2 linked regions of the Schizosaccharomyces pombe genome follow. The protein of the gene in region 1 interacts with the protein of each later gene in a pairwise test. Each region holds a gene or a part of one and is shown on either strand. Other genes may lie near its edges. The genes, in order: plp1 and lsm2.

The links.
Region 2: the proteins of plp1 (region 1) and lsm2 interact in a two-hybrid assay, tested with the Schizosaccharomyces pombe proteins (one large-scale study listed by BioGRID).

The regions. Positions count from the first base shown.
Region 1 is NC_003424.3:3,947,216-3,950,940, forward strand, and holds plp1 (thioredoxin domain-containing protein), read right to left. Parts: upstream 1,732-3,725; coding exon 1,520-1,731; exon of another isoform or gene 1,476-1,519; coding exon 1,323-1,475; exon of another isoform or gene 1,279-1,322; coding exon 1,192-1,278; intron 1,144-1,191; coding exon 1,068-1,143; intron 1,027-1,067; coding exon 715-1,026; 3' UTR 670-714; downstream 1-669. Other genes in the region: ppx1 (exopolyphosphatase), read left to right, coding at 1-559; qtr2 (queuine tRNA-ribosyltransferase accessory subunit Qtrtd1/Qtr2), read right to left, coding at 1,842-2,706, 2,782-2,963; splicing-associated factor Saf2, read right to left, coding at 3,305-3,725. UniProt on the Schizosaccharomyces pombe protein: Inhibits early G-protein signaling events following pheromone stimulation. May help create heterodimerizable beta-tubulin by facilitating the efficient transfer of nascent beta-tubulin polypeptides to the folding apparatus.
Region 2 is NC_003421.2:2,143,333-2,146,971, reverse strand, and holds lsm2 (U6 snRNP-associated core protein), read left to right. Parts: upstream 1-1,986; 5' UTR 1,987-2,047; coding exon 2,048-2,107; intron 2,108-2,160; coding exon 2,161-2,262; intron 2,263-2,614; coding exon 2,615-2,717; intron 2,718-2,775; coding exon 2,776-2,801; 3' UTR 2,802-3,023; downstream 3,024-3,639. Other genes in the region: wtf meiotic drive antidote Wtf23, read right to left, coding at 1-165, 202-480, 530-859, 1,076-1,211. UniProt on the Schizosaccharomyces pombe protein: Component of LSm protein complexes, which are involved in RNA processing and may function in a chaperone-like manner. Component of the cytoplasmic LSM1-LSM7 complex which is involved in mRNA degradation by activating the decapping step.

The sequences.
Region 1 (3,725 bases):
TGATACTGGAAATTTAAAAAATGAAAAGACTACTGATACCGATGTTAAAATAGTAAATGACTTATGCTCATTTGTGCCAAAAGATTGGGTTCGAGATGAGTTTTTTGATACTCTGAAAGAGAAAAAGAAGAGCTGTAAGGGTTTTTCTTTTGATGATCTACTACGCAGGGATTTAAAACAGTATTTTCCGGACGGAATAGTCGTCAATTATGCCAGTGTTGGAAAGGGATTAGATTGGATCAAGAAAAAACGTCTCGGATGGGAAGATGAATTGAAAAGTTTTGCCGAAGTGCAAAATTCTGATTTGGTAATTGTTGGGTTATCTCTGAGTAAGAACGACGAGTTTGGTCGTCAATTGATTTTATACAAGCGTACTGAAAGGGGAGCTGGTCTTGCCGATTCTTTCTTAAAACTTAGCAAACAAAATTTAGGATTAGAAATTATTGAAGAGAAAGATAATGGCGACCTCAGTATGTGGAATCAAAGAAATTCCGCTGCTAGCAGAAAGAAAGTAGTTCCCTTACTTATGGACTCAGTTAAACAAGTCGCTTCAAAATAGTTACTGCTTTAGACTCCATTGTGATTTCTGTTCTGTACATTTTACGATAGCTACACTCATCAGTAGGCTTATGATAGATTTTAAATTTTTTTAAAAGGATATATATTATACATCACATTGATCTAAATTTCTTACTTTGTAATCCCAAGATCCTTTTATTCAAAAAAATCACTGTCATCTGATTGATTATTTTGTAGTTCATCGTGGTAAATAGACTTGTTTGAAGAACTCTCTTCTTTTAATCGGTCGATTGCTGAACTCTTGAGCAACCGAAATTCTAGGAGTGAAGTTTCAAAATCATCTTTATTACCTAAATCAGCAAATCCGATAATCTTATCCACGAGCTGAGAATTTACGTAGCAAAGTACGGCTGGTAATACTTTGAGACCCAATTTGACTACCAAAAATGGAGCGTTGGCTGCTTCAATACGGATAAACTTAGTTTCCCAATGTACTTTGGCAATTTTCTGAGAATGTTAGCGTAAGCAATAAATGGAACTCCTCGTACCTCTAGATGAGAGTCTATAATTTTGCAACGTATAAAATCAGGGTGGTAAAAATGTATAACAACTTTTTTTGATGAACTAAAAAATAATTAGTTTAAAATAATCGAAGCTAATGTTTTGACATACAGCGTAAAATCCATAACTTCGCGCTCATTTTCTACAGTAAGAAACTGCATGTGTCCTTTTTCTTTTGCAGCTTCCACTCTAGCGAATCTGAACGGTTAAATTCTTAAAATCATTTTAAAGCTTTTTCTTACTCTTTTTTTAGCATCTCCAATCTCTGTTCTCGATAAGCAGTATCATCAAATTCATCCAACTGTGAAAAGAGCGCATCTTCCAATTCTGAATCACTTTCGGTTGCAGCTTGAGTAGCATACGTATCAGCGTAAAGATCAACTGTTGGGTCGTTACTAATGTCAACATTAGACATAATATGTACGCTACTGTAACCTACCTATTATGCAGTTCTGGTTCATTGTAATCCTGAGTATCCTCCTTTCTTTCAGTAACCTTCAAAGCTTCATACTCGTTGGCGATTTCCTTTTCCAAAGGAGATTTCATAGAAATCCAAGCAGGCTTGTTTTCTACAGGCTGAACGTTTGTCAAATCCATTTGATAACCACGTTTACGCGGCCCAAATCCATGGGATGCTGGAAAAGATGTCATATAAATTTCTTCAAATTTTCTAACATCTTCATCAAAGTTTCCCTCTTGTATGGAGGCGCGGATTCCTTGAAAAAAGGCAGTGAAGGCATAAACATTGTGTCTACAAATCGTTAGCTTTCTTTACCATGCTCTTTAATATAAACATACAGCTGTAAAAGTATCCAAGCAACTAGCTCTCTAGCCTGTAACAGATGCCTAACATAAGCGCGTTTGTATCTACGACATGTTTTGCAAACGCAGCCGGATTGCAATGGTTCCATGTCAGTAGCAAACCTTTCGTCCCACATATCCAAGCCAAGTTCAATTTTAGAATTCAACACATCTTTAGAAGGAGGCGGGAAAGAGAATGTAAGTGCAACACCAGCATCAGTAGCTTGTGTTATCATATCTGGAACAATAATGTCAATTCCTCTTTGAATGCATTTCAGAATTTCGAGTGGTGATTCAAATTTTTGAATACTCAGTCTTGGGAGACCAACCAAATCAGCTGGTAATGGATTGACATTGTTAGAAAATGCCAAGCCAGCAATGTTGTTAGCAAGTTGATTTTCTTGAAAAAACTGGAAAATAGGCGTAAGGTACTGAGTGTCCAGATCAGGAACAGGGAAAAATACTTTAGTAGTATTGAAAGCGTCCGTCGCTTTGAGTGCTAAAAGCAACTCAGTTGTCCAATTGACAGACCGTTCCACAATTTTTGGCTTCCTTTTGACACCAGGAGGACTAGTTGGGGTATCATTTAAAGGAATTACTAATTCAGGACAAAGCTTTAGGACAGCTTTAATATACAAGTCATTTGTCAGTTTCTTTGCACCACTTGCAGTAACGATATTAATATGACTTTGTCCTGCAGAAACAGATGGCAAAGGAGATGTTCTTCTTGGAGCAAGTAAAGTAGGTTGGACAGAGGGTGCTGCGATCCATTTTTTGATAGTTCCCTCATTAGTCAAGATTGGTGAGGCTTCCAGACGATCCAAGCTACAAACATATTAGTTAGAAATTCAAATTAAAAAAGATATGATAAAGCATTTGAGTCCTAAATTTAAACCTTACCAATCCTCCAACCCTACATAGAGAGCAGGAATATCGAATTCTTCAACATTGTCAGGTGTCAAATGAGGAACAGTTCCTCTGGAAGTAGGAAGGAAAAAGCAAGGAGTCTTCAGAACCTTGTTCTTCACCGTAACTGAAGATACGCGAGCCCCTGAAGGACTAGATAATGAAGAAATTGCCATCAATAAATCGCAAAATAAAGCTGCAAAAGTTTTGCTCTATTTACACATGTACGATATCAAAATAACGATGGTTCACTGTAGCACATTAAACGAATATTGCTATATGAATGTTTTTTAAATTTGAAAGATATTCAAACACAAAAGGTCGTCTAAACATTCGATTTATAATGTTGTAAAATAGCTTTGTTTGGATATCAGTAGTCTTACAAAACTGAAAGTTTTTAGTTAAGTAAAAAAAAAAATATCATTACATAAATTATAGTAAATTGTTTAGACTTTTTTTAAAGTTTTAAAGTAATAATAAAACATGCAAACAAGAAAGAAACAATGGAATAAAAACATTAATAACGGATAATTTTGCGACGGCGGAAGTCCTTTTCATCTGAAGCGATGTCATATAACGCTCTTCGTTTCATTTCTTTTTTCTCTTTTGTTCTTCGTTTCATTTGCTCCATCTCTTTCCTGGTATATCGCTTGTTTCTCCGTTCTGCCAGTAAACTTTGGCCATTGTGACTATTCAATGAAGAATTGATGTCAAAGTACTGTTCCATATGCTTATGTGCTTTGTTTTCTTCACTTCGCAACTCTGGTGAAGCCCATTTTGGCATAAACTTTCCAGATAGGCGATTGAACTGAACTTTCGCTGTGTAATCTAGGGGACTAGTCTGCTCTTCATCTTCTAACGGATTATTCCAGCTCGTCGTATTTGTTAAAGTGTCCCAAAAATAGTAAGCCTGTTGAGAAGGGTCCCAAATAGCGGCT
Region 2 (3,639 bases), on another chromosome or scaffold:
CCATAATAAATAGCACAGAGGCTTCAATTTCACAACCTGTCCATTCAAAATGTTTACCACGTAAAAACATCGTACCGTTTAGTACCAACACGATACCACTTTGTAACAAAAACACTTTTGCCAACTTAGCTAACGTACGCTCGAATGTCCAAAATGGAATACAAACTGTTTGTCAGCGTTTAGCATTGTAACTTCACTTACCAGATGATACAATTAAAAGTAAAACAGCCGAAATAGTGCATGTGGAATAGATGAGAGCCTTATTTAAGTTCAGATCGCCAGATTTGACGCAACCAAAGAGTATACAACAAATGATTAACCAGAGTAACCAAATTATAATCATCATTTCTCTTCTTATGTTGAAAAGGCCAATAGAGATCACCTTTACACATTGTGCCAAGAAAACTACAGTCACCTTTATACATTGTGCCAAGAAAATTACAGTTACTTTGACTGCCTTGATCCAAGTTTCATAGAAGTCTAATGAGTTAGTGACTGAAGGTAAGAATTGACCTATCGTGTCACTTACACCATAAAGAAATAAAAATCATTAGGCAAATAGCACACCACACTCCAAAATATACCCATTCATCTTTGCCATAATCTTTAAAGAGAGCGTCCTTATACGTTAGATAACAAACTGCGGGTACGTTTAGCACAAAGATTGAAATGAATGATAAAAATGCTTTTTTCAACGGAGAGGTAGAAGAATTATCTGCCGTCCCGGAAGAATGGTTTTCTCTATGTGTAATAGAAAGACTGTCTTCACCATAATCCGGAGGAGTCGTAGACTCGTCCGTATTAAATAAGTTAGGGTTGTTAGCTCCCATTTGTTTGGGATCCTTTAAATTTATATTTTCTATATTGTTAGCAAAATTCAATGGTAACTTTAGAATATTTTTTAATGGGAAAGGAAAAAAGAGCGTGCCCTGTTAGACGAATTTATACTCGTAATATGTCAAGTTGTAAACAAACAAACACAACAAAAACATTGTAAATCAAAACAAACAGACACAGCAAATAATCCTTGACACACTCAATTCTTTATCTTATCTACCAACAACACAACACTTACCTGAATATGGAGGCAATGTGCTCCCATCTTCTGAATTGTATTCTGGGAGAGGACCTTTTTCCAAATCAATTTCATTATCGTTTTTTGCACTCAATTCATCCATAGACGACCTCAAGGGGTAATATTTATTCTTCATTTTCTAACGACAGTCTATTATTTAATGATATACACACAAATAGTTCAATTGTTGTGATTGCGACAAACGAAACAGCAAAATCAAGAATATTCACTCTGTAGTCCAATTCCAATCGCTTTAAAGACTTTTTAACAAAATAATAAAATTGTTCAAACAAATTTCCAACTAATTCCTTCAAACAATGGCATAAAAAAAGAAGAACGAAAAAACTGAACGAGGCAGTGAATTGCTTCTGACACATTTATTTTGTCACTGCCCTTTTTATTCACCCCAACTTAGATTTCCTTAAAACGTTTTTGAGAAGCAAAACGTTGTAGTATAATATAATGTCAGCTACGCAATTTGGTATCTGCTTTAACGATTACATAGAACTGCGGTAATTTTTCCTTTGTGACCTATGATATTACAATACACAGGTACTATAAGTAGCAACTGAGTTTAGGTATTGTACTATCAAGTTGTATTGTTATCTATTGCAAATACAACTTATAATTGTGTAAGGAATGAGGTTTAGCAGTAACTCTATTTACGTTGTTTAGATGATTTGGATTTTAATAGATTATTGTTAAAATTAATATCAACATCGTATCATCTGCGGTGCGATATGTAAATGGAACATGTGAACATATAGTGACACTCAACGTACTGTATCATAACTAATCTCGGTGACAGCCTTAATATGATTTTTTGATTTCGTAAATCCTCGCAAAAAAATGTACGAGCTCCAACACAATACCGTGTAAATGGGCTTTGCCTGTACATGACACATTCTTCTGTTCGCTGCATCTTTCTTACTTCATCCAAAAGCGTGTAAAACGAGTCTTCTCCCGATTATAATGTTGTTTTACTCATTTTTTAAGACATTAATAGACACGGAAGTTACCGTGGAATTGAAGGTATGCCCCTACTTGGCTTTTTTGATCGCGTTATGAGGTTAACCAAACTATAGAATGATATGAGTATCCGAGGAATTTTGAAATCTGTTGACCAGTTTTTAAACGTTAAGCTTGAAAATATTTCTGTGGTCGATGCGTCGAAATATCCTCATATGGTATGCTTTGCAAGTTATCGGGAATTGAAAGAGAAATAAATGATTTCTACGATCGGTAGGGTTCGGTTTATTCATTTTATTTAGGTTTTTGATTGATTTTTGAAAAAAGTCTTGTCCAAATCGATTATGTACAACATCTTACATGAGAGGAACATGAATCAATCAGCTTTCCCAACGTATATGCTACATTCTCAACTTTTAAAATCTAGGTTTTTCATTAATTGAACAATTTAAGACTGATCATAAAGTGCGCCTCACTTTCTGAATTCTTCGATCTATCCTTTTTTTTTCGTTCCTACTCTTAACACTATCTCGTGCTATTATTCCAGAGTTATAACTAATAATTTATTAGGCTGCTGTTAAAGATTTGTTTATTCGTGGTAGCGTTGTTCGTTACGTCCATATGTCAAGTGCATATGTTGATACTATTTTATTAGCTGATGCTTGTCGTAGAGGTAAGCCATGATTTGTTAAACACTGAAATTTTAGCCTTATTAACTCACTGGTTTTTAGACTTGGCTAATAATAAGCGTCAATAATTCCTTTGAAAATTTCCTTTTTTTGGTCAATATATTCGGAAACCGTGAACTAATTGCTTATTTAATCGTAGTTCGGTTATTCATCATGTGTCCCATTGCGATTTTTTTCATGCCCGCAAAAGGAATATACATGTGTATATACATCATTTTATTAAGGACCATTGTTGTTTGAAGGTATTTTCCTCCCCTTTCATTCATCCATATTCTTACTACCTTTTCGCTTTTCTTTTAAATCCAGCTTCCCTATTATGCCTGAAACCGATCCCTTAAAATTACCGTTTTATTATCTTCAAAAAAAAAAATTAAGTAGAAAATTGTTGGCGTTTACATGATTTTTGTGTACGGCTTCTTCCATTAATATAGTTGATGAGACTTTGTCAATTATCATAAAATACATACATCGTTACATATCGGTTTATTGCTGCGAGAGGGAATTTTTAGCACTCATGCATCATTAGCAACAGAGCGTTTGTATTACTTTAAAAGATATCCACTCAGATTTGTGTTTTACAAGTCTAATTCTTCTTCCAATTTATTTTACTGATTTCATTTGTAGGATTCAACCGATCTCACCTTTAAGCCAATCAGGCACACTCTCTTTCATCGTTTTTTTAATATATTTTGTATTCTTTTAAGATCTTCCCAGTGAATGATACGATTTTACTTTTTTAGTGTTCTTAGTTTTATTCTAAGTTAATCATGAAAAACGTCTTCTTTTTAAAAATAATTGAAATGTTCAGTAGTAAGTTGAAAGTAAAATCGTATTTATCTACTACATACGGTTGAGCAGCATAAGTATGATATCGCATTTGCTGCCAACTACCTCACTCACCATCCA